3 linked regions of the Lepisosteus oculatus genome follow. The main gene of each other region encodes a partner of the protein of the gene in region 3 in a complex. Links are inferred from orthologs where the notes say so. Each region holds a gene or a part of one and is shown on either strand. Other genes may lie near its edges.

Evidence for each region.
Region 1: exosc3 (region 3) and exosc5 share a complex: the UniProt entries of both Homo sapiens proteins name them as parts of the RNA exosome core complex. The link is inferred for Lepisosteus oculatus from reciprocal best matches to the Homo sapiens genes EXOSC3 and EXOSC5.
Region 2: exosc3 (region 3) and exosc6 share a complex: the UniProt entries of both Homo sapiens proteins name them as parts of the RNA exosome core complex. The link is inferred for Lepisosteus oculatus from reciprocal best matches to the Homo sapiens genes EXOSC3 and EXOSC6.

The regions. Positions count from the first base shown.
Region 1 is NC_090698.1:6,248,956-6,256,320, forward strand, and holds exosc5 (exosome complex component RRP46), read right to left. Parts: upstream 3,083-7,365; 5' UTR 3,049-3,082; coding exon 2,943-3,048; intron 2,390-2,942; coding exon 2,276-2,389; intron 1,150-2,275; coding exon 1,028-1,149; intron 752-1,027; coding exon 611-751; intron 385-610; coding exon 295-384; intron 214-294; coding exon 118-213; 3' UTR 48-117; downstream 1-47. Other genes in the region: bckdha (2-oxoisovalerate dehydrogenase subunit alpha, mitochondrial), read left to right, coding at 5,024-5,140, 6,154-6,330. UniProt on the Homo sapiens protein: Non-catalytic component of the RNA exosome complex which has 3'->5' exoribonuclease activity and participates in a multitude of cellular RNA processing and degradation events.
Region 2 is NC_090715.1:1,374,393-1,380,383, forward strand, and holds exosc6 (exosome complex component MTR3), read right to left. Parts: upstream 1,616-5,991; 5' UTR 1,574-1,615; coding exon 746-1,573; 3' UTR 588-745; downstream 1-587. Other genes in the region: aars1 (alanine--tRNA ligase, cytoplasmic), read left to right, coding at 4,338-4,481, 4,687-4,875, 5,426-5,571. UniProt on the Homo sapiens protein: Non-catalytic component of the RNA exosome complex which has 3'->5' exoribonuclease activity and participates in a multitude of cellular RNA processing and degradation events.
Region 3 is NC_090696.1:33,368,995-33,376,684, forward strand, and holds the start of exosc3 (exosome complex component RRP40), read right to left. Parts: upstream 3,012-7,690; 5' UTR 2,987-3,011; coding exon 2,774-2,986; intron 1,648-2,773; coding exon 1,498-1,647; intron 1-1,497. Other genes in the region: myosin heavy chain, clone 203-like, read left to right, coding at 3,012-3,079; probable pancreatic secretory proteinase inhibitor, read right to left, coding at 7,173-7,218. UniProt on the Homo sapiens protein: Non-catalytic component of the RNA exosome complex which has 3'->5' exoribonuclease activity and participates in a multitude of cellular RNA processing and degradation events.

The sequences.
Region 1 (7,365 bases), on a different chromosome or scaffold from region 3:
GTTTAGAGACTTTAGAGAGTCAGTGTAACAAAGCACATCAAATACCATCACATGAACCAGTCTTATTTATAATTAATACAAAAAGGCACAGAAAGGGAGAGAGGAGCAGAGGCGGAGTCACAGCATCTTGGAGTATCTCCTACTGACAGAGTCTCTGTAGAACTGGAAGATCTTCCCTGATGCCCGCTGACTGACTGCGATGCACTGCTGCAGCTGGAGAGGCAGAGGACACTGGGTTATTACAGAAAGGAGCTGCAGTGCACAAACACAAGACTGAGAGCTCCAGCAGCTTACCTCACTCACTGAGAAGGACCCTTTGGTCGATGACATCATCACTCTGCGCTCTGCACTGTCAATGGCAAATGTCATCACTGCGCGGCTCTCCTGTGATTTAGAGATGGGGAAAGAGAGACTGTCACATAAAAAAAATGGGTGGAAAGGAGGTTCAGACTAGGGGGGCAGTGTTGGTCAGTGTGTGGGGATCCCTAGGGGTCCAGTCAATACACCGTACGGACCAGTGTCTAGGGGCACTTGTTGAGTCAGTGAAGCAGTCAGTGTTGGAGGGGTCAGTGTATGTACAAGGTTGTACACACTGTGCACTGTACAGTACCCTCTCCTGTGCAGCAGTGGGGTCAGTGTGGATGTGGCCCTCAGGGTCAATGGCACAGGTCACCCCACAGAAAAGGCAGCGCATGGGCAGTCCCGCGTCCATCAAGGCCATACAAGCAGCATTCAAACTGCACGCCAACAGCTGGGGTCCTCACTAAGGAACAGGACTCAGAGAGACAGACTGGCCTTACTGCACACAGAGACAGACAGAGACACACAGACTGGCCTTACTGCACACAGAGACAGACAGAGACACACAGACTGGCCTTACTGCACACAGAGACAGACAGAGACACACAGACTGGCCTTACTGCACACAGAGACAGACAGAGACACACAGACTGGCCTTACTGCACACAGAGACAGACAGAGACACACAGACTGGTCTTCCTGCACACAGACACATTGTGAAGGATACTGCCCCATCATCATGGACGACCTGCAGGACGAGGGTGAGGGAGGAGCGCGGGTGGAGAGAGGAGAGGAGAGCCGCCTTGCACGTCTCTCGCACGCACTGCTCACGAGAGCGCTCGGCCACTCCTGCACACTCAGACCGGGAGAGAGGGAGAGACAGAGAGAGTCTTGACAACCTCTCGTTCACAAACTTTAAAACACCACCACCAGGCTTTTGCTTGAGCAACAAAGGACGACAATTTTCAAAGTGAGACAACAAAGCACTGAATCGTCAAAGCAGCTGTGAACCACACCCTGCACTGCTAGAGCTCTCATTACCTTCGAGACAGAAGGAGGGAGACGGGACAGAGATAAAAGAGAGAAAAACATGGAGAGAAACAAAAGAATAAAGTGGTGAGGTGGGTTAAAAGAAAAGAAGGGAGAAGGAGATGAGAAGGAGGAGGACACAGACAGCAGAGGGTTAATGCAGCCCATCAGGGTAGCGATCAGTGTTTGGTTATTATACATGAAGCTGCTGCCACACTGTGGCGAACAGTAGTATTGGACATCTAACACTTGCAAGGTGATATTGCAAACATCAAATGTTTCTTCTGGGGGTGTTCTCCACACTGTCAGGGTCAGTTTAGTCATGTGTTTATTACACAATGTTGAGCCTTTCATCCCAAAGTGCAACATATATAACTGCACATCAGTAGGAGAGAGAAACTACCTCACCAGCTGAATAAAGGGGAACTTTAAGTAGGGCAGACTGTTTCAGACCAGAGTGGAATTTGGTCAAACCTCTTGTGTTAACTAATCTACTGAGATGAACAGTACAAGGTATCTTTAACAATCAAGTATTCAGAACCTCAGTTTAAAATCTCACCAGACGGACAGAACCTCCTGTTGCACAGTGTCCCCTGTCAGCATGCTAGGACTTTTTTAATGAAACATTTAGTTTTGTATTGGAAATTAACTTGAAGAGGGAAGGGTTCCCCCTACTGGTCCGCAAGTGCTACATCCTGCAGAAGCCTTGTTTTCCCATCACTGTCCTGTCCAGTTCCAGATTTGCTTAGTTTCTAAGACCTGACAAGATAAGGTTGCAGACTGCAAGGTGGTACTGCTGGTGCGTATGGCCTGCAGACAAAGAGAGTATGGCTGAAGATAATAAAGAATACAGCGCACTGCTGGTCAGCGCTACACAACACTCTCCGCCTGTATACCCTGATGCAGTGTGGTGTGTGCAGAGCAGAGACAGGCGGTTAGCTCTCACCTGGCAGGCCCACTTTCGGCTGGATCAGAACCTCCATTGTAGCCCGATCATAAATCTCCTTACTGACCTTCACCTCCGCTGGCCCGTACACCCCAGCCAGGACACTGGTGTCTCCTGCAGACACACAGAGTGAGCGGTCAAGACAGCCGCACGTACAGACACACACACAGAGAGTGACCCGTCAAGACAGCGGCATGTGTACAGACACAGAGTGAGCGGTCAAGACAGCGGCACGGGCACAGAGTGAGCGGTCAAGACAGCGGCACGGGCACAGAGTGACCGGTCAAGACAGCGGCATGTGTACAGACACAGAGTGAGCGGTCAAGACAGCGGCACGGGCACAGAGTGAGCGGTCAAGACAGCGGCATGTGTACAGACACAGAGTGAGCGGTCAAGACAGCGGCACGGGCACAGAGTGACCGGTCAAGACAGCGGCACGGGCACAGAGTGAGCGGTCAAGACAGCGGCACGGGCACAGAGAGTGCATAACATAGGGCCCAAACGCACTATAGAGCTAGAAGAGGACCTTCCGAACTCATTCAGAACCAGATAAAAATGAAGCATGAGGGAAGAAACAACGAAACCTTGTTTGTGCCCAAGTGGACTCGCGTGAAGACAGCGCTTGCAATTAAATCCTTTTTTAAAAAAATGTAAAGCATGAACATACCCTGCACGAACGAGGCCGAACCATCCGGTCTTGACAGCAGGTTCTGTTCGCAGCCGAACTCCCTCAGAGCTGTGGTGGGGTGAGTCGAGCTCTCCTCCACTTCCATCGTGTGTACCAAGCAGTGCGGTGTTTCTGCGGCGCAGACCTAATACGTCACTAAATAGAGCCCTTCCAGAATCTTAAACAAAGGCGCTGGTAAATGACGTTCACCACTGTGCTGAATTTTGTGACCATTTAAACCTATAACGTCAAATTGACAGACACATTTTCTGTGAATACTGCTAGTGTTTTTGTACATTTTTTATGTTTTTGAACAATTCCTATGTAAAAACAACAGATCTGAAATTCAGTTAGATATTAGATATTTTTAATCACTTTATCATTTAAATCGTTAAACTTTTTTAAACACCATATTTGTTTCATTATTATTTTATAAGAGTCAAGATGCTTCTCAGAGGGATGTTCTACTGCAATTAGAAATAGTCAAAAACATTTTTATTGTATTAATGTTTTATTTAAGCATCAGGAATACAAAAATGAGACAAAATATTAATACAGATACAAAAATAGACACACTTCACAGCCAGAGGAATTCACAATTATAAAAGCTGAAAATTAAACTTTTTACATAATTCCATTGAATGTCTTGCCTTTTGATTTTTAACATTTCTAATAGAATTTAAATAAAAAAGGACTTCTACCTTGAAAGTATTAATAGAGGGAGCAGTATTAGACCATTTACTTTTTTTGGATGTATTTTGTATTTTGCCAAAATAATTAACCGATTAATAATAAAAACATATCCTTTATCCAAATCAGGTCTAATAAAATATAAAATAATATCAAAATCTAAATTTAACATTTAAAACAATCCAAAACAATGTTGTATATACTGTAAGCAATTAGCTTCGAACAGCTCCAACTGACCTGTGGCTCAGAACTTTATATCTGTTTTGAAGGATCATTTATAAATACTATACTGTATTGTATAAAGACCACAGTGCTTTAAAAAAATTCTAATTCATTTAAGCTATACTCAGATTCATTAAAAATATTTAAAAATATGCTTGGTGAGTTGGTTTACAGAAATCATTTACCATATAAACATATTATTTAATGTGACCCCTAACACCACGCAACCTCTGTACTGTTGATAACGTTTTAACTGATTTAGAAGGTAATGATTCACAGTAATGAGGACTCCCCTCCACCACCACCAGTGTGCAGCCCCACCTGGATGATGCACCAGAACGCACCAGCTTTGGTGGGGAGGAGAGCAGAGTGATTAAGTCAGTTCAGAGATGGGGATTATTAGGAGGCCGTGATTGGTAAAGGCCAGGGGGAAATTTGGCCAGGACGCCAGGGTAACAACCTAATGCCCTGGGATTTTTAATGACCACTGAGAGTCAGGATCTAAGTTTTACATGTCATCCGAAGGATGTCCCCTTTTTACAGTATCACCATACTGGGGCATTAGAACCCACACAGACTACGAAGACCCCCTGCTGGCCCCACTAACACCTCTTTCAGCAGCAACCTTAGCTTTCCCAGGAGGTCTCTCATCCAGGTACTGATCAGGCTCACACCTGCTGAGCTCCAGTGGGCTGCCAGTTGTGAGCTGCAGGGTGATAGGGCTGCTAGCCATGGAGTTGTTATTCTGTTCCATTCATTAGATGTTGCCTTTGTGCTGTCATGTTGTGACATCTGAATGTGCATACCCTTGTTTGTTGTAGTTTCTTTTTTTGTATTTAAATAAGAAATAAAAGAAAAACCCGCTTACAGAATCACGTGACGCACAGCGCCTAGTAATTGGGTCCATCCATGAAAGTCGTGATAGAAGGCTACAGCGATGCCTGAATACAAACAAAGCAGATAATCAACGACACGCCTTTTAGCGCTCTTTTATAAACATGATTTACTAATAAACTTATTTTTTACGCAATGAAAATAAATATATGTCTCCATCTTTCATATTTTGAGTTGTTTTGAGTTTTTTTGTTGCCACTCGTGTGTTTTCTGGGACCTTGACGATTGAGGTGCCTGGAGCTCCACAGGGCAGCTTGTCAGACCCAAGATCCAAGATGGCGGCGGCTGGAGGTCTCAGGAGTCTGTGCAGAATCGGATTCAAATCAATCTGTCACAACACCGGATTTTATCCCAAATTACGACATTGCCCGGGCAGGGCTTTCCGTGTTAATGTGAGTGACGATTCTCCCCCTTTCACGGCCAATCCCGTCGATAAACCGTGGAGAAGCCACGTTCACTGAAATTCAATACGGCTTTCAACTGCGGCTTTTGCAGTAATCAGACAGGTGTTTTAACATGTATAGATTAATAATAGAGCTACGTTTCATTGCTATTATTATTAGTTGTGAATATATACATTGCATTGTTGTTATTAATATGGTTGTTGTTGATATTGTTGTCTTGAAAATTGTGATGAGGTTATGATTACTACTATAATGACGGGATTGAAAAAAGTCTGCTTTTGTCATCTTTTACGCACAAGGCTACCTTTATAGTGCGATTGTGTTTATCTGAAATGTGTTTATCGTTGTACTGCTAAATGGATTCTACATCACAATCCACCGCTTTGACTAACTGCGTATATATACAAAAACACAGTTCGTGTACACACAGCAGTCTAATAAATGGAAAGCCTGTCTTGATATCGCTTTATCTGCAAAAGCGCTTGTGTTGTTCCGAGATTGTGAGTTGTTAGAATAACTTTGGGATCACCTCGAGTCTTTGGCTCGAGGCTGGGTGGTCTGGGCTGCTGATTGGTCAATTTAGGGGGCGGAGGCGTTTCGCCTGTAAAATAGGGTCACCTTAAATATGTGTTCGGTTGCCGAGGGAAGATGAGGTGTGCGTGAATCTCGGATTTTTCCCAAACCCCTGTCGTCATTATTATTTTAATAAAATAATAGTAACCGAACACTATAAGTTGGTCTCGTTGAATAATGTAGTGTCAGCGTGCAACTATGTAATTTGTTTGTTTTAACCCCTCTGTCTCTCAGTGCTGTCAGTGTGCAGGAGTGTGGATTGTGTGTGTTTTAACCCCTCTGTCTCTCTGTGTTGTCAGTGTGCAGGAGTGTGGATTGTGTGTGTTTTAACCCCTCTGTCTCTCTGTGCTGTCAGTGTGCAGGAGTGCGGACTGTTCATGTTTGAATTGCTCTGTGTCCATTATTAATGTCTGTTTCTTCCCTTCCAGGCGGTGTTGAGGCAGCAGACCTTCGATTCCCTGGATGAGAAGCCTCAGTTCCCCGGGGCGTCCGCGGATTTTGTGGATCACCTGGAGTTCATCCAGCCTAATGTCATCTCGGGCATCCCGGTGTACCGCGTGATGGACAGGCAGGGCCAAATCATCAACCCGGCCGAGGACCCCCAGGTGCCTGCTCACCCGCCTCTGTCCACACGAGTCCCACTCTTCTCTTCCTGTTCCCCTCTCCTGTCCTCTCTCACTCCTCCCTCATCGCTGCTTCTCATCTCACTCTCTCTGTGCCTCTCTGTGCCCCAACCCCTCCCTTCTGCCCCCCTACTGCCTCTCTCTGCCCCCCTACTGCCTCTCTCTTGCCTCTCTACTGCCTCCCTCCTGTCTCATTCTGCCTTTCTACGGCCCCCTACTGCCACTCTCTGCCTCTCTTCTGTCTCTCGCTGCCTCCCAACTGTCTCTCTCCGCCTCCCCACACTCTCCTTCCCCCTTTCTCTGTCTCTCAGCTCCACAGCTCTCATTTCCCTTTTCCTCTCCGTGGTCTTCTCTCCCTTCGTCCTGCTGCTGTCTGGCTGTGGTCGCTGAGCTCTTGGGGCCATGGTGAAAGGGCAGGCAGAGCTGCCCGCGCAGGTCCTCAGAGGAGCCTGAAAGTCTCCAGGAGGGCTCGGCGGGAGCGAGGCCTTAACGAGAGAGGATGAAGTAGCGGTGCAGGCTGATTGAAAATGGAGCTGTCTGAATTATTACGGAGCACGAAGAAGGGTGCCCTGATGCAGCAGGAGGCTGGCATGAGTACAGCTATCTGAATTAATGCCATCAGCTGAAGCAGTCTGCTCGGGGGCCTGACTGAGATTGGGAGGGTCTGTGTGATTGAAGAAGCATCAGTGGCCCTGGGGAGATTCGTCCTGAGTGAGGTCACACGGGGTCAGAAGGAGGCCAGGAGTCTGTCCGAATGCGCTGGTTGCCCAGGGCAACATTGGGATGCAAGCAGCTCCCAGCCACACCCCAGAGTTGTGGGATCAGGGGAGCGAGAGACAGCCTGTGCAGATTCAGCCTTCCCTGAGCTCAGTACGGACAGCAGCTCAGCACACTGCTGGGCTTTCTCACCTGTCTGATACAGCATGTCCCCATGCAGTGTGTTTCAGGATCAGGTGGTTTCCATCCTTTTCTGTGAAGTTAATTTCTCCTTCTCTTAACAACCTCGTTAGGAGAAAG
Region 2 (5,991 bases), on a different chromosome or scaffold from region 3:
GATCACTGGAATCTAGTTATAGTCTCAAGAGGGTACTTTTAACTACTGCTATTGGAGCAGATATACTCAAGAGGTAACTAAAATATTTCTGAATCACACCTGTAAGTATACACTGGCAAAACATTTTCAGAAATCTAAAAGGAAATACTGAACATGGAGTTCTGCTTTCAAAGACCATGGTGAACAAGTTTGTAGACTCATTGACAGAAAATAGCCTTCATGAGTCCAAGATTAGTGTTGATCAGGGTCTGTAACCAGTCACACTGCACACACACAAAACTGTCTCTTGATAGACAGACTTCTGATTTACTCAAGAGCTTCATTCAAGTGTGTCAGGTGTCCATTTGAAAGGAAAACAAGTATCTGAATAAACGATCAAGTTTTTATGAATGAAAATAGTTTTGGACAATTCAGGAGGATCAACTCCCACACACACACACATCCATACAAAACAGAGTCGGGAATAATTCCCTGATGTCGGTGTCACTGGATCTCGAGGGATCCTCACTTTCTACGTGTTCAGTGTTTTTGCAAAATACAGTTTTGCGTTTGTCGCACGGGAAAAGAAAAAGGAAAAGCAAACGAACTGACTCACAGGAACGTTTAATAGAAAAATCAGACGGCACAAATCGTCCGTGATGTATATGACAAAAATAAATATCTCGTCTCTGAGAAACGCTTCGCCGACAGAAAGAAGCGCGTCTTCAAGTTCACTCGCTGTCCGGCAGCTCCAGCAAGTTCGCCCTCAGACGGCTGTCGGAGGCGCTTTCCTCCGCACAGCCCTCGCCAAGGCCTGCTGGATAACGGGGTACAGGCGCTGGCACCCCTCGATGCAGGCTTTCACAGCCCCCACCAGCGTGTCCTCCGCCATCTCCCCGTCCGACTGCAGCCCCGACACCTGGTGGAGGCTGGGCAGCAGAGCCACAGTCACCCTGCCCTGGTTCTCTCCAGACCCGGCGGACTGGGCGCCGCTCTCCTCCGCGAAAGTGGGGTCGATGAGGAAGGAGGGCCCGTCCTGCCTCAGCGCGCAGCCCAGGACCAGGTCGTACATCTCGATCCCGGCGTCCGCCAGCGCCAGGGAGGCGCAGGTGACGGCGTGGGCCAGAACCGAGCCGTCGTGCTCCAGCGCCACCACGTTGACCTCGATCTGCGAGCGGGGGTACTTGTGCAGACAGGCTGCGGGCAGCAGGCTCTCCAGCATCCCCAGAGACAGATCCTTCTCTTCGCTGCCCTGGATCCAGGAGCCCCTCTTCGGGCACGAAAACGGGGCGAAGCGAAAGTCACACACCAGCCTGCCGGACTTCATGTCCACCTCGTCCTTCCTGTCGGTCTCCCGTGGTCCGTACACCGAGCAGATCAGCTTCGTGTTCCCCGCCTCGATGTAGGCAGACCCCTTTGCCTGGCTGATCAGTCCGCATCGCGCAAATACGGGCCGCACGTCGGCCTGGCTCCGCTGCCTCCCGTCCTCCCTGCCTTCCTGCGGACATTCAGGCTTCCTGGTGCTCGGGAGGACGAAAAGTAACGGAGACTGAGACTCATCTGGACCCCTCACTCGCTTGGTATCCACCGGCATGGCTGGTGTGGAAATACCATAGACAACAGTGCGCAATAGTCTTTTGTAGATTACACTTCCTGTACACTGCGGGCAGAGGTTCATGGGATACGGAAAGACCTCCGAACGAAGGTTTTGGAGGAGAGGGATGTGCGCCGGATATAATTGCCTTTCCGCGCCGATACGGCATGCAGTATATTAAGTTATTCTAGATGTATGAGTTTCTGTTGTAAATACTGACTTTTCGAGATCATGGCCGTTAGTAATTTTGACGAGCAAAACGTTTTCGTATGACGTCACAACGTTACTTCCCGAGAAAGGGCAACAGATGATAAAATGTAGAGACGGCATTTACAAGATTTAGTTTTTTATTCTAATATATGTAAGTATTTTTTAATCCCGGCAAGCAAGGGATACAAGGCAGGACACACTCGCACCAGGGCCAACTTTCCAAGCTGCCAGTTTGTGTTTGGACTGTGGGAGGAAACCCACACAGGAAGCACACCCAGGAATGGAACCCAGACTCCAAGCACTACACTATAGCAAAGCTAACTACTGTACCACTGTACCCTAATAAGACCACTGCTTAACCAGTAGGTAGGCCAGATTGGAGATGCCCCTGATCTAAATTAAATTAGACAGGACACCAAGATGACACCCTCTTATGAGGCCTATTGTGGGATCCTTCATGACCAAGCCTTAGTGTAAGGTCATATGTGAGGGTCCTACAGCACCGTGCTGCCAGTCACCATACTGGGGCATCGGTTTGCATACTTTGAGCCAGGTGAAAGATCGCCTCCTGCTGGAGTACCAACACCTGTTACAGCAGCAACCTGTTTCCTTCAGAGGGCTCCCACCCCAGTACTGGCCATGCCCAGCTCTGATGAGGTTGTGAGATCTGATGAGATCACGACAAGCCAGCAGTATTGCTGTCCAGCTCTTTGGAGCGTGATCAGTACCCACCCTATTTTTTTCTGCATGTTGTGTCCCTGCGTGTTAAGGACTACAAGCAAAAACAGACTGTATACTGAGCGTTATTTTCTTAAAACTATTGTTGTTTCAAGACCTATGTGCATGCAACGAACATGCATAACATTAGAATGGAAGGTTATTAACACTGCCTTTTTAAAAACTCGTGTTTCAGCTGTATAAAGCCCTGAAAGTCCGAGTACGTGGGCGCCACACCGGGTTAATGACAGATCTGCAGTACGCGCTATGCGCTGCAGCTCTTCCACACGAGCCGACTTACGGATAAATTGCATCAGCCGCACTCGGCGTCTCCGCGCGGCCGAAAATAACCGGTTTGTGCCTCTGCGTAAGACTGACATCCCGTGCAGCCAATCCGCACCGAGAAACAGTTAACTTCCTGCTGCAGCGAACCAATGGCCACCAGGGAAAGGCGGGGCAAAGGGGTAAGGCGTGTGGTTTTGCCGGTGCGAGGCAGTGGTCTGCTGAGCGTGTGGAGATTGGAGGGTTTCAGACTACATGTGAGTTATGTCTACTGTATTGTGCTTCTTTTTTGAGAATTAAAGGCTAGATTTTATGTGTTCGTTCCTAATATGTGTGGTTTTATTGATTATGTATCATTATGATAAGCTATTACGAGCTCTGCCTGGTTGTTGAGGGTTATTTTGGTCAGGTGACTCTAACGTAGCTTCTATAAATCTGATTTCTTTTGTCTGAACCCACATAAAGGTTTCTGATGGATTATTTCTGATGTTACAGTACGAGCGAATGTGAGACATTTTGTTCCGTAACTGGTGGATCGTTCTGTGCAGGTAGAAGATGCATACAATATAATTTGTGTTTGTGACCGTGATATTAATGTCCGACGCTCGATTGCGTCGTAAGCCTGCTGTCAGAAGCGGCGGTGTTTTTGTGGCACCACGAAAACATGATCATTCAGTCATATGTTTCAGCAAATAAAAGTGCAGACGTCATTATTCCTTATCACGTCTCCACAAAAAAAAAAGGCAGTGTTATCGTAAGTAACTACTGTGATTGTACATATATTTGCTCTCAGAAGTAGCGCATGCACTACAGGAATAAAGAGCCGAGAGTCAAGTCCTTGCGGGGTTCAGCGCAGTCTTGCTGTTCGGAAGCTGCAGAGGTGAAGCTCAGGGTAGAGGCGGGCGGGTTGAAGACGCGATCGAATCGATTCCAGCGGTGAGGTGTGACGATTTGGACACTTTCTGCAAAGCCTACACTCGCGAAACGTGGACACCCCCCCGCGGGTAAAAACCATGCAGTGCCCTGTCGCATCACGTGACAGCGCGGCGTGTTTTAAAAGCCCCGCCGAGTCCTCGCGGGGGGGTGTCTGCAGAGCTGCCCGCACAGGCGTGGACGAGGTGCCGCCTGCAGGCCTGTTGCTCGCCGGCTCGTCACTGAAGTGCGTGAGAGCAAGGTGTAAGGGAGGCCAGGGTCACCTGGGGTGTGAGTGCTTGAGCAGTTCAGAGGGAGCGAGGCTGCGCTGTTAACGTGCACTATCGTGTGCTCTTGAAGTTCATTGAGGAGAGAAGCAGGTATAAGTTATTTGCAAGAAGGCAGCGCTCGTTTCTCCCTGCTTGTGTGCATCCAGACGAAGAGCTCGACTGTGACGTCATTCTTTGGCAGTTTAGTCTTTATTGTGTCTGGGGAGATTTGCTGCAGCCCAGCTGTTCCCAGGTGGGCTGTTGCTGGGAACAGGTTCCGACAGGTTGGGGAATGCCCCGGGGGCGCAGGCCTGCCGCCCTCTCTGACCCCGCGCGCCCCTCTCTGTCCCGCCCTTCCAGAAGCTGCTTCCACGATGGACTCGTCGCTGACGGCCGCGCAGATCCGGGAGAGGTTCATCGCCTTCTTCCAGAGGCACGAGCACCAGTATGTGCACTCCTCCTCCACCATCCCGCTGGATGACCCCACGCTGCTCTTCGCCAACGCCGGCATGAACCAGGCAGGTGTCCCCCCGGTCACTGAGCACCCACGTCCGGGTCTGGGAACCCCTCGCTCTGCAAGGGCGCCCACAACTGGAGAAGGGGGCATGCCTGCGTCCCTCTCTGGCACGAGCGGACTCTCGTTCTTCCTCCCCCGCGTTCTGGCTCTGGTCCCCTCTCTCGGCGGCCTGTCCTCAGTCTCCCTCTCGCTCTCTCCCCGCGCAGTTCAAGCCCATCTTCCTGAACACCATCGACCCCGCCCACCCCATGGCCAAGCTGCGCCGCGCTGCCAACACGCAGAAGTGCATCCGCGCCGGCGGCAAGCACAACGACCTGGACGACGTGGGCAAGGACGTCTACCACCACACCTTCTTCGAGATGCTGGGCTCCTGGTCCTTCGGGGACTACTTCAAGGTGAGGGGCGCACCCCGGGAGCCCCAGTCTGGAACCCCCAAGCTGCAGCTTTGCTAATGTTTCTAGTTTATTCCATCCATCCATTTTCTAGCAGCTTTATCCAGCTCAGGGTCGATGGGAAACTGGAGTCTTTCCCAGCAGTCAGTGGGTGCGAGGCAGAACACACCCTGGACTAGACGCCAGTCCATTGCAGGGCACACACAGACACACACACTCACGTCGGGGGCAGTTTCCCAGAAACCAGTTAACCCACCAGCATGTCTTTGGACTGTGGGAGGAAACCCACACAAACACAGAGAGAACGTACAGGTCCAGAACTGAGCCCAGGGCCCCAGCACAGCCAGGCAACAACACTAACCACTGCACCTCCCTTGGCATTCCTGGCTTCTTTTTTATTCATTATTTCTTTAACCCTTTGTCTTGGGGGATTCTTACTGAATCACCTTCCAATTTTATTTTTTTAAAATAAAAACAGCTGTTTGTCAGCAGAGGATCTGCTGGGAGGGCCCCCTGCTGTCCGAATGAGTCTGATTGTGTCTGTCTGCTGTAGCACCTGGCGTGCCAGATGGCCCTGGAGCTGCTGACGAAGGAGTTCGGGATCCCCATCGAACGTCTGTACGTCACTTACTTCGGAGGGCACGAGGAGGCGGGCCTGGAGCCGGACCTGGAGTGCAGGCAGATCTGGCTGGACCTGGGGTGAGTGTCTCCTCGACGCCTCCCTCTCTCCTCTTCCACCCTCCTGCTCTGCCAAGTGAGCTTTCTGGGATGGCAGCCCAGAAAGGGAGCAGCGTCCGTCATATTCAGTATCGGTCAATGCGATCAGTCAGTTTTTTTCTAATATAGCACCTCAATCCAGGGCATTCTAGATGAATTATACCATATCTGGTGATAATAAGTTACTAGAGTTTCAAAAATCTCATTTATCAAGATGTTGAACAGGAGGAACTTTGTCTTTTAAGATTTTCCCTGTTGTCTCTGTGTTTTTTCAGGTCTTTTTGTTTGTGAAATTCTGCACTTAAACAATTTGTAGATGGATTTTGCTCCCCTTTATCACATTTCTCCTTGAAGACAAAAGCTCACCTCTCTGTCAGCGCAGCTTTTCAGATGTGTGTAAAA
Region 3 (7,690 bases):
AATACCTAAAACATTTCAATTGTCTAAGTTAAACATCTGTTACCGAACCCTTGATCTAACTCTCCCCGAGTTGATGCCTGCTTTCAAAATGAACAATAGCATTATAACGTTCTGCTGTTCAAGCTTTATTTTTGTATGCACCACAACTCAAATCTTTAATATGAACAGAATATATTCAATTGACATTTTTTATTTCAATAAAATTTACTCCATTTCCAGAATAGCTTTACAACTCGGAACGAAAACATCTTTGGTCCCACGCACAGGCTGGATTACACTCAAACTGAGATCTTCACTTCAGCTAGGATGATGCTTCATTAGATTGCAAACAACTGAATGAATCAACTTACATAGCGCCTTTAAAAGTGCTTTACAGAAAGTTCTCTTTTTCGACTCGGAAGCTGGAGATCTTATGCTACTTGCGAAACACAGCAGTTGAAAGGCAACCTCCAACGTGCTTAGGAATTGAAACCAAAAGATTGAAGTCAGGGGTCTAATTATGTAATAGAGCAAAGCTGAAATGAAGTTGGGAACCCCTACTACAGAAGGTGTGACCTAAGATAACTGTAGCTCGTGATGGTAATATATAATGGCATATCCACAAAAACAGATTTGGGGGTTTTAAATTGCCTTTAGGGTTGAAATAAGACACAGCGAGACATGGACATTCTACTCCTTCTTCCTTCTTCTATAGTAGACAAGAACCTGGAATTACACAGCCCAAGAGCTGGTCACGATAGAAGAACTGGTGGTGTAGGGAGTAGTCCAGCTGCTCCCAAAAGGTATGGTGTGACGGCTGCTTTCTGAGCCCGCACCCACCTCACCCACACTGCAGCGCCTACTCAGATTCCCATCTGGGACTCGGAACACCCACAACACATTTTTGTTCTAATGGCTTCAAACATTGTACTTTTGTTTCCTATTACTAGACAACCTATTATATTTGAGAAAAACTAATGACTAAAAACTTCCTGAAACCCGTTTGAAGAGTTATAGCCTAATCACAGAAACGAGCTACAACTTTGCTTAAGTAGCACTGACAAAATTCTGCAGTTATGTCTCTGTCATTGTACTGCAGGAGACAAACGCTGCCAGTTAAATGTCGGAACCAAGCAATTTATTTATATGACGCTGCATGGCTTTTATGGTCTACATAAAACAGTTTCTTTGTAATACACAGATAAAGATTAGCTGCCATGAGAAGCCTGTCAGTATGATTTATTTTTTTGTAGGAACATTTTTAGCATAAAATGTAATTTAAGTTTAAAACCAAATTACTCTGGGTCTTTTTTCTTTGATTTTAAAGCCTGTGCACTGTAGCTTTTTAACCATTTTAACGCAGTAGCTAACTTGGTAGCGGTAGTACTCCCGCACTCCGGCGGACAGAACAATTTGATCACTAAGTGCATCTACATATGGTAACCTCACAGTCTGCCCCCTCCCCAGAAACGTCCAGTCTACCACACAGCCCCTGTACTCGTACTACAGAGCACGTACCTGAACATTCGGCCTGTTTCGTTTCGTTGCCCCTTCAAAAGCCAGGTAGGACAGAGAAGCTTGTTCACTTCCGCCAACGTCGACCTTGAAAACGTCGCCGGACTTTGCTGTCACAATACCAATGACACACTCCCCCTTCGCCGGGACGTACTGAAATATAAAAAAGGTATTTCTCACAATGCCAGATCTGTAAAATACACCAGACTTGTTTTGCCTGGGCAAAGCCTGCTGTTTATGGGCAAATCAGTCCGAAGATGTCTCATGGATGTCTGGTCTCCTGTTGAATGCAGCTGTATCCCTCATAAATCAGGGGAACATTTGTCATTTTCCTTTTAAATAGTACCTTTAAGAGCAATATTCTCAAGGCACTTGTAAAATATAAAAAGCACGTGTCACAGTAAAATTAATGAGCATTACACGGCAGAATCAGAAAAAAACTCAATCACAACCAAATAACTGAAGAAAATAAGGATAGATTTAAAAGCACCCAGTGTGGCTGAGTCCCTGGTTATTCTGAGATGGTTATGGAGTATTGGGGTGCAGCAACAGAGGGCCCCGTATTTGCCAGAGTGTGGAATAAGAGTGGAAACACAGCAAACCAGAAATCAGCTGACAGGAGGCCGCCTGGAGGGGAGGTAACAGTCTGCTAGATACTGAAGAACCAAAGCACATCTAGTCTTGAACTCAAGAAGAAATATTTCAAAATAAGAAAGGTTAAAAATACCATTCGCCCCATCTAGCACATTTGGTTATCTTTAATCTTAAACCAGATAGGTCAGCTGTAAACATTCTCGTTAAAAGCCCACAGTAGTACTGTGAGAGCATTTTACACCTCAGGCAATCATCTTTAGTTAAAGCAGCATATACAAATAACATTCTTATATGGTAAAATATTAAATTATATCAGCATGATTAAACAAATCTAAAAGACCTAACAGAGACCCGTCTGATGTACTACGTGTTTTAGGTAATAGTAAATCGAACTTTGCTATTAGTAGTTTGTGACTATGCAGAAGAAGCGCACTGCAGACAGAAACAGGTTGACAATATATGCAGGTGAATACTGGTCTCAGAAACGAGATGTGTTCTTGTTCTTGTGTAAATGTCTACATGAATGACATCAACCACGTGGGCGATTGCAAGCATTTTCATATAGATTAACTTCTTTAAATAACTTAAAAATAATTAAACAAGTGAACTTCTGTTGTTCATACGTTATACCAAACATTATATTTTACGCTCAGAAAAACTGCTGTGATGGATATCCACTCTTTACCCGTTTTTGCTGGGAATCTATCCAGTACAGATTCGGCTCCTTGTGACGCAAAATGCCACTTTTGCAAACAAGGATTTCATCTCCATTACGGCGCAGCCCGGGTCCACAAATAACTTTATCTTGTATATTACTTTCGGAACCTGGTGATTCAAACGAAAAAACATCGCCAGGTAGTAAAACCTCGCCAACTCTTTCTTTAAAGCTGTCCAGCATTGCTTCTGTGTTTTTATCTCAACAGTAACACGCGTTTCCGGCGGAGGGGAAACAGTGTTGCACGCAGAGCGCCCTGCCGGAAGAAGCGGTTGAGATCTCCGCGCAGCGACTGCGGCTCTGGTTAAGTGACGTCACGCATCAGTTAGCTGTTGTGCTGCGGAATTAGAAAAGTTCCCTACAAGTCAAAGAAAAAGGAACACGTGAAACGAATAGTTTTGAAAAAATACAATTCATATCAGGGCCTTACCACTTGTTTATTTGGAGTCCTCTGGTTTCTTCCTCATTTTCATTCTGGTAAAGCATTTCTGTTTTACACCACGGATGCGTTGGTTAACTCATTTTTAATTTTTAATTAAAAAACGGGGGACAATTGCTATTGTTCGCATTCTGGTGTTGTCACACGCTTACTTGCCTTACTCCGTGAATCTCACTAACTGTTCTTATACATAATAATAATATTAATAATAATAAATATAATGATAATTACACTAATTTGGTACTTTACTAGACCTATACAGGTAGGTAATAGGGACTCCCCTCCATCACCAATGTGCAGCCCCACCTGGATGATGCGACGGCAGCAGTAGTGCACCAGTACGCTCACCACACACCAATTATTTCATAAATGGGGAGTATTAGGAAGCAAAGATTGGTAAAGCGGGGGGGGCTTTAGTCAGGTTAAAATAACACCTGTACTATTTTCTAGAAACGCCCTAGGATTTTTAATGAGAACGGGGAGCCAGGACCTCGGTTTTACGCCTCATCCCAAGGACGGCACATTTCTTACAGTATGGCGCCCCCGTCACTATATGGGGGCGTTAGGACCTTCACAGACCTCAGGGTGAGCACCTTCTACTGGTGTCACTAGTAACAGCTCTTCTAGCAGTAACCGTACCTTTCCCAGGAGGTCTCCCAACCAGCTACTGGCCAGGCTCAAACCTGTTGAGCTTCAGTGGGTTGCCAGTTGTGAGTTGTAAATTGCAGGGTGACATAGCTGTTGGTAATAAAGCCTGTGAGAATTCTATGGGAATACACGGGTTCGCGTTAGAAAATAAATGACAACGTCCATAGAATAACTATTTATTTCTTTGTTTTTGCTGGAGTCGATTCAAGCTGTTATTGATGTTAGGACCAAAAAGTTGTGTAGCACACTTGGAATCTGACAGCTAGATCTCTCATACCCTCAGTGTCTCTTTCTGTTGGTTCCCAGCCGCAATTTCTCGTTGGCTGCGGCCAGGACAGGCTGCCTGACATCATACAGCCACAGGAGAGAGTAAAGCTGAGCTGAGCAGGTCTATGCAGAACTGCAGAAATCTGCGCAGAACTTCAGAAATCTGCGCCAGAGGGCTGAGATTATTCAAACCTGACCTGCAGCGACGTCTGTTGTATCAAACAAAAAACAGCACTGCAGTACGAAAGCGCGTTCCTGTTATCAAGGAAAAGGTATATCCCATGTGTTGTCTCGTAATTACGAGATAATTTACTATGTACTAATAATGTACCTTCTCGTCATAACACGATAATTGTTCTCGTAGGTACTATATGCCAAAGATACTTTGAATGTATGAACAACCTAATACATTGTGCAATGACAGCGCACAGAAGCGCAGTTGAAACTTTGGGTTTAGAGTTCATGACAATGTTCAACGCTGCAGACGGTGCACGCATGCGCTTTCGACTTTTGGTTTAGATACAATGTAGTTACTAATTTGTACCTAATGTAAACACAATCATTATAACCATAAGAACACTCAGATTTATCGTTAAACAAGGAGTATAGCATGCAATTGAATCCACTGCTTAAAACTGAAAGTCAACTAATATGTATTGAATGACATATTATTTGGGATTCTGCTTGTGCTTTTAAATACTTCTTAATACAATTCTCTCCATATTTGTATATAAGTTAAATGTGTCTAATCTCAAACCTTATACTATAAGATCAAATTCACACACACTACACTTCTAAATCTAAAGATGATTTTAAATTTTCCACATTCGTTCTTAAACCACAATACAGATCAAGGTTCAGTACTTGGTGTGCCCTCCATGGGCCTTTAGTAAAAAGCTATGTTCTGTGTTATGTCTTGTACCTGCCCGCAGTGTAAACATGCCAGATGGGACAATAAAGGAATTAAATAATTTAGCTGAGTATAATGTAGTGGATATGTTCACCTAACACAGAAAAGGTCCTCAGTTCATAACTGGGTGTAGACAAGCTGAATTGTCAATTGGCCTGGGTTTGATTCCTGGGCAACACAAGACTCCATCCCTACTAAAGAGGCTGAATGGCCTTCACTAATCCGTAATTATTCTTATGGGTTTATGAGATCTATTGATGCTGACAGGCCTATGACCACAAAGAATTCGACACCTACAGTAGCTACATTTAAGCTTTCCTCAATGAACAGGTTCCAGCTGTTGAGAAAATCCAGTCAAACAACAGTAAAGGTCGTTGAATGCAAAGAGATTTTTAGGCAGAATGGAAACTTTCTTCAAAAATGCGAAAAAGAGTCTTGGAGCATAGCAGTGCTAGGTTTTCCTCTTTGAAGCTGAATCACAGAGCGATCCAGGTTCCAGGGAGGTAAAGAGAGGAGTTTGAGAGCAACAAAGTGTGAAAAGGTTGGCTAGATAATTCAGGGCAGTAAATGTAACAACTCCCTTATCTGCAGAAACCTGAGGCTTCATTCCTTTCTGTTTATAAGAGTGGTTACAGCGATGAAGTAATATTGGAGTTGGGCAATTTAAGAGTAAACAGAAAAAAGTATGATTGTAAATTTACATTAGGTATACATACAGTACATTTTAAAAAAGGTTTAGTATTAAGTAAATATGAGTTCAGAGCAGGTCAAAGTTTAGTTTCTTTGTGACTGCAAGGCTGCATTATTTAATACTGTCTTTCCCTGAGACTCTTTTAAAACTAAAACGCTTCATTTTAGAAAGATCATATCTACCAGATTAGACAGTCTTTTATAAAGCTACTGTATCCAAGATCTTCTATTTACATTCACGATGTCTTGCCATTAGATGTTTTGGCTGAGCTCCTCCGTAGCACAGTGACTGGTACTATACATTTTTTGGCCGCTACGAAATCACATTGTAATGGATTTCTATGCTTATTTACATTTTCGCTTAATGGTTTGAAGACAACAATTATAACTCCAAAAGATTTTCAGTTTTGAGTCATCGATTAATCACCTTTTTCGTGTGCATTTAGACCTGGCTTTTATTACCATTGACTGATAATAATAACTTTTATTTATAAAGTGCCTTTCCAATCCAAAGGATGCTGCACATCATGAATAAAGAAAAAGACAAGAAAAGTACAATAAAAGTAAATGAAAAAAAAACAAAAGCACACAGGTTTTTACAAACTGACTGTAGGCAATCAGACATAGACCTAATAGTAAAGGTAAGTTATAAGTTTAGATTTGAAGAGAGTTAAAAGATGTTGTCTCTCGCAAAAGTCTGGGGAAGGCCATTCCACAACATTGGAGTAGCTGCAGATAGGGCACGGTCACCAAAAGTCTGTGATTTAGTCCTGGTGACAGTGAGTAAATGTCAGGCCTCAACTGAATGGAGTCTACAGGGGGGGAGTGAAAACATGGAGGATTTCAGAGAGGTACGATGGAGACAGATTGTTTAGAGCCTACAAAATCAACAACAAGATCTTGTATTGAATACGGAACTGTATAGGCAACCAATGCAAAGACTTAAGTGTAGGAGTGATACAGTATGCTGCCAGAGCCTGGTGTGAGTTAGTAGCCTAGCTGCCAAGTTTTTAACATACTGCATTGCAACTTGTTAAGAAGAGGGTTAGAGAGCCCATATAGTAACGAGTTGCAGGAATAAAGCCTTGATGTTATGAATGCATGAATCAGGCACTCAGCATTGGACATTGATAAAAATTGCCTAATGCGGGAAATGTTTCTAAGGTGAAAGAAAGATGTCTTAATCAAATTTTTCACATGTGGGTCAAAAGATACTAGAGGATCAAGTAGATTCTCTGAGGCTGATCATTTTTAAGTCCGAATTGTTTAAAATCTATTCATAAGCAACACCTTCCCACCCCTCCAAGTTCACCACAAACACAAAGGAAGGATGCAGAAATCGGGTTTTATTAGTATTAATATCAAGACACATACAAGGGTTTTTCTCCTCGAGGTGAAAGGACACTGACCATTCCTCAGCATGTCCCATCCTTGGCGATTAAGATGTCCGCCTTGGTCAGCCTGGAGATACAAGAACATGAAACATATATAAATATGGCTAACACAGTGTATCAGCTGATTTCACACCTAGTCTTTATTTTACACATTCTTTAAAAGTGTTACACATACAATGCGTGCTTAGAAAGGCAGTGTGGCCTATATCACACTATATTAACACACTATATTAAACATTTATCACACATTGGATCCAGGCATCATTGTTGCGGTGGTTACAAATGACCAAAGAGCAAGGTTGACATGTCCATACATAGTTTTTACAAATTGACCAGAAGAAGACTTGTCTTACTAATGAACAAATATGAAAAAATGTTGTTTTTATTTTATATGCACTATTAATCTTATGTCTTCATGCATATAACCTGATTATAACACACCCAAAACCTTTGAGGTAATTGTGGACTTCAGGCACTCACAGGATCTCAAATCCCCCATCTCCATCAATGGTCAATAAATAGCCATAACTGACTCATAT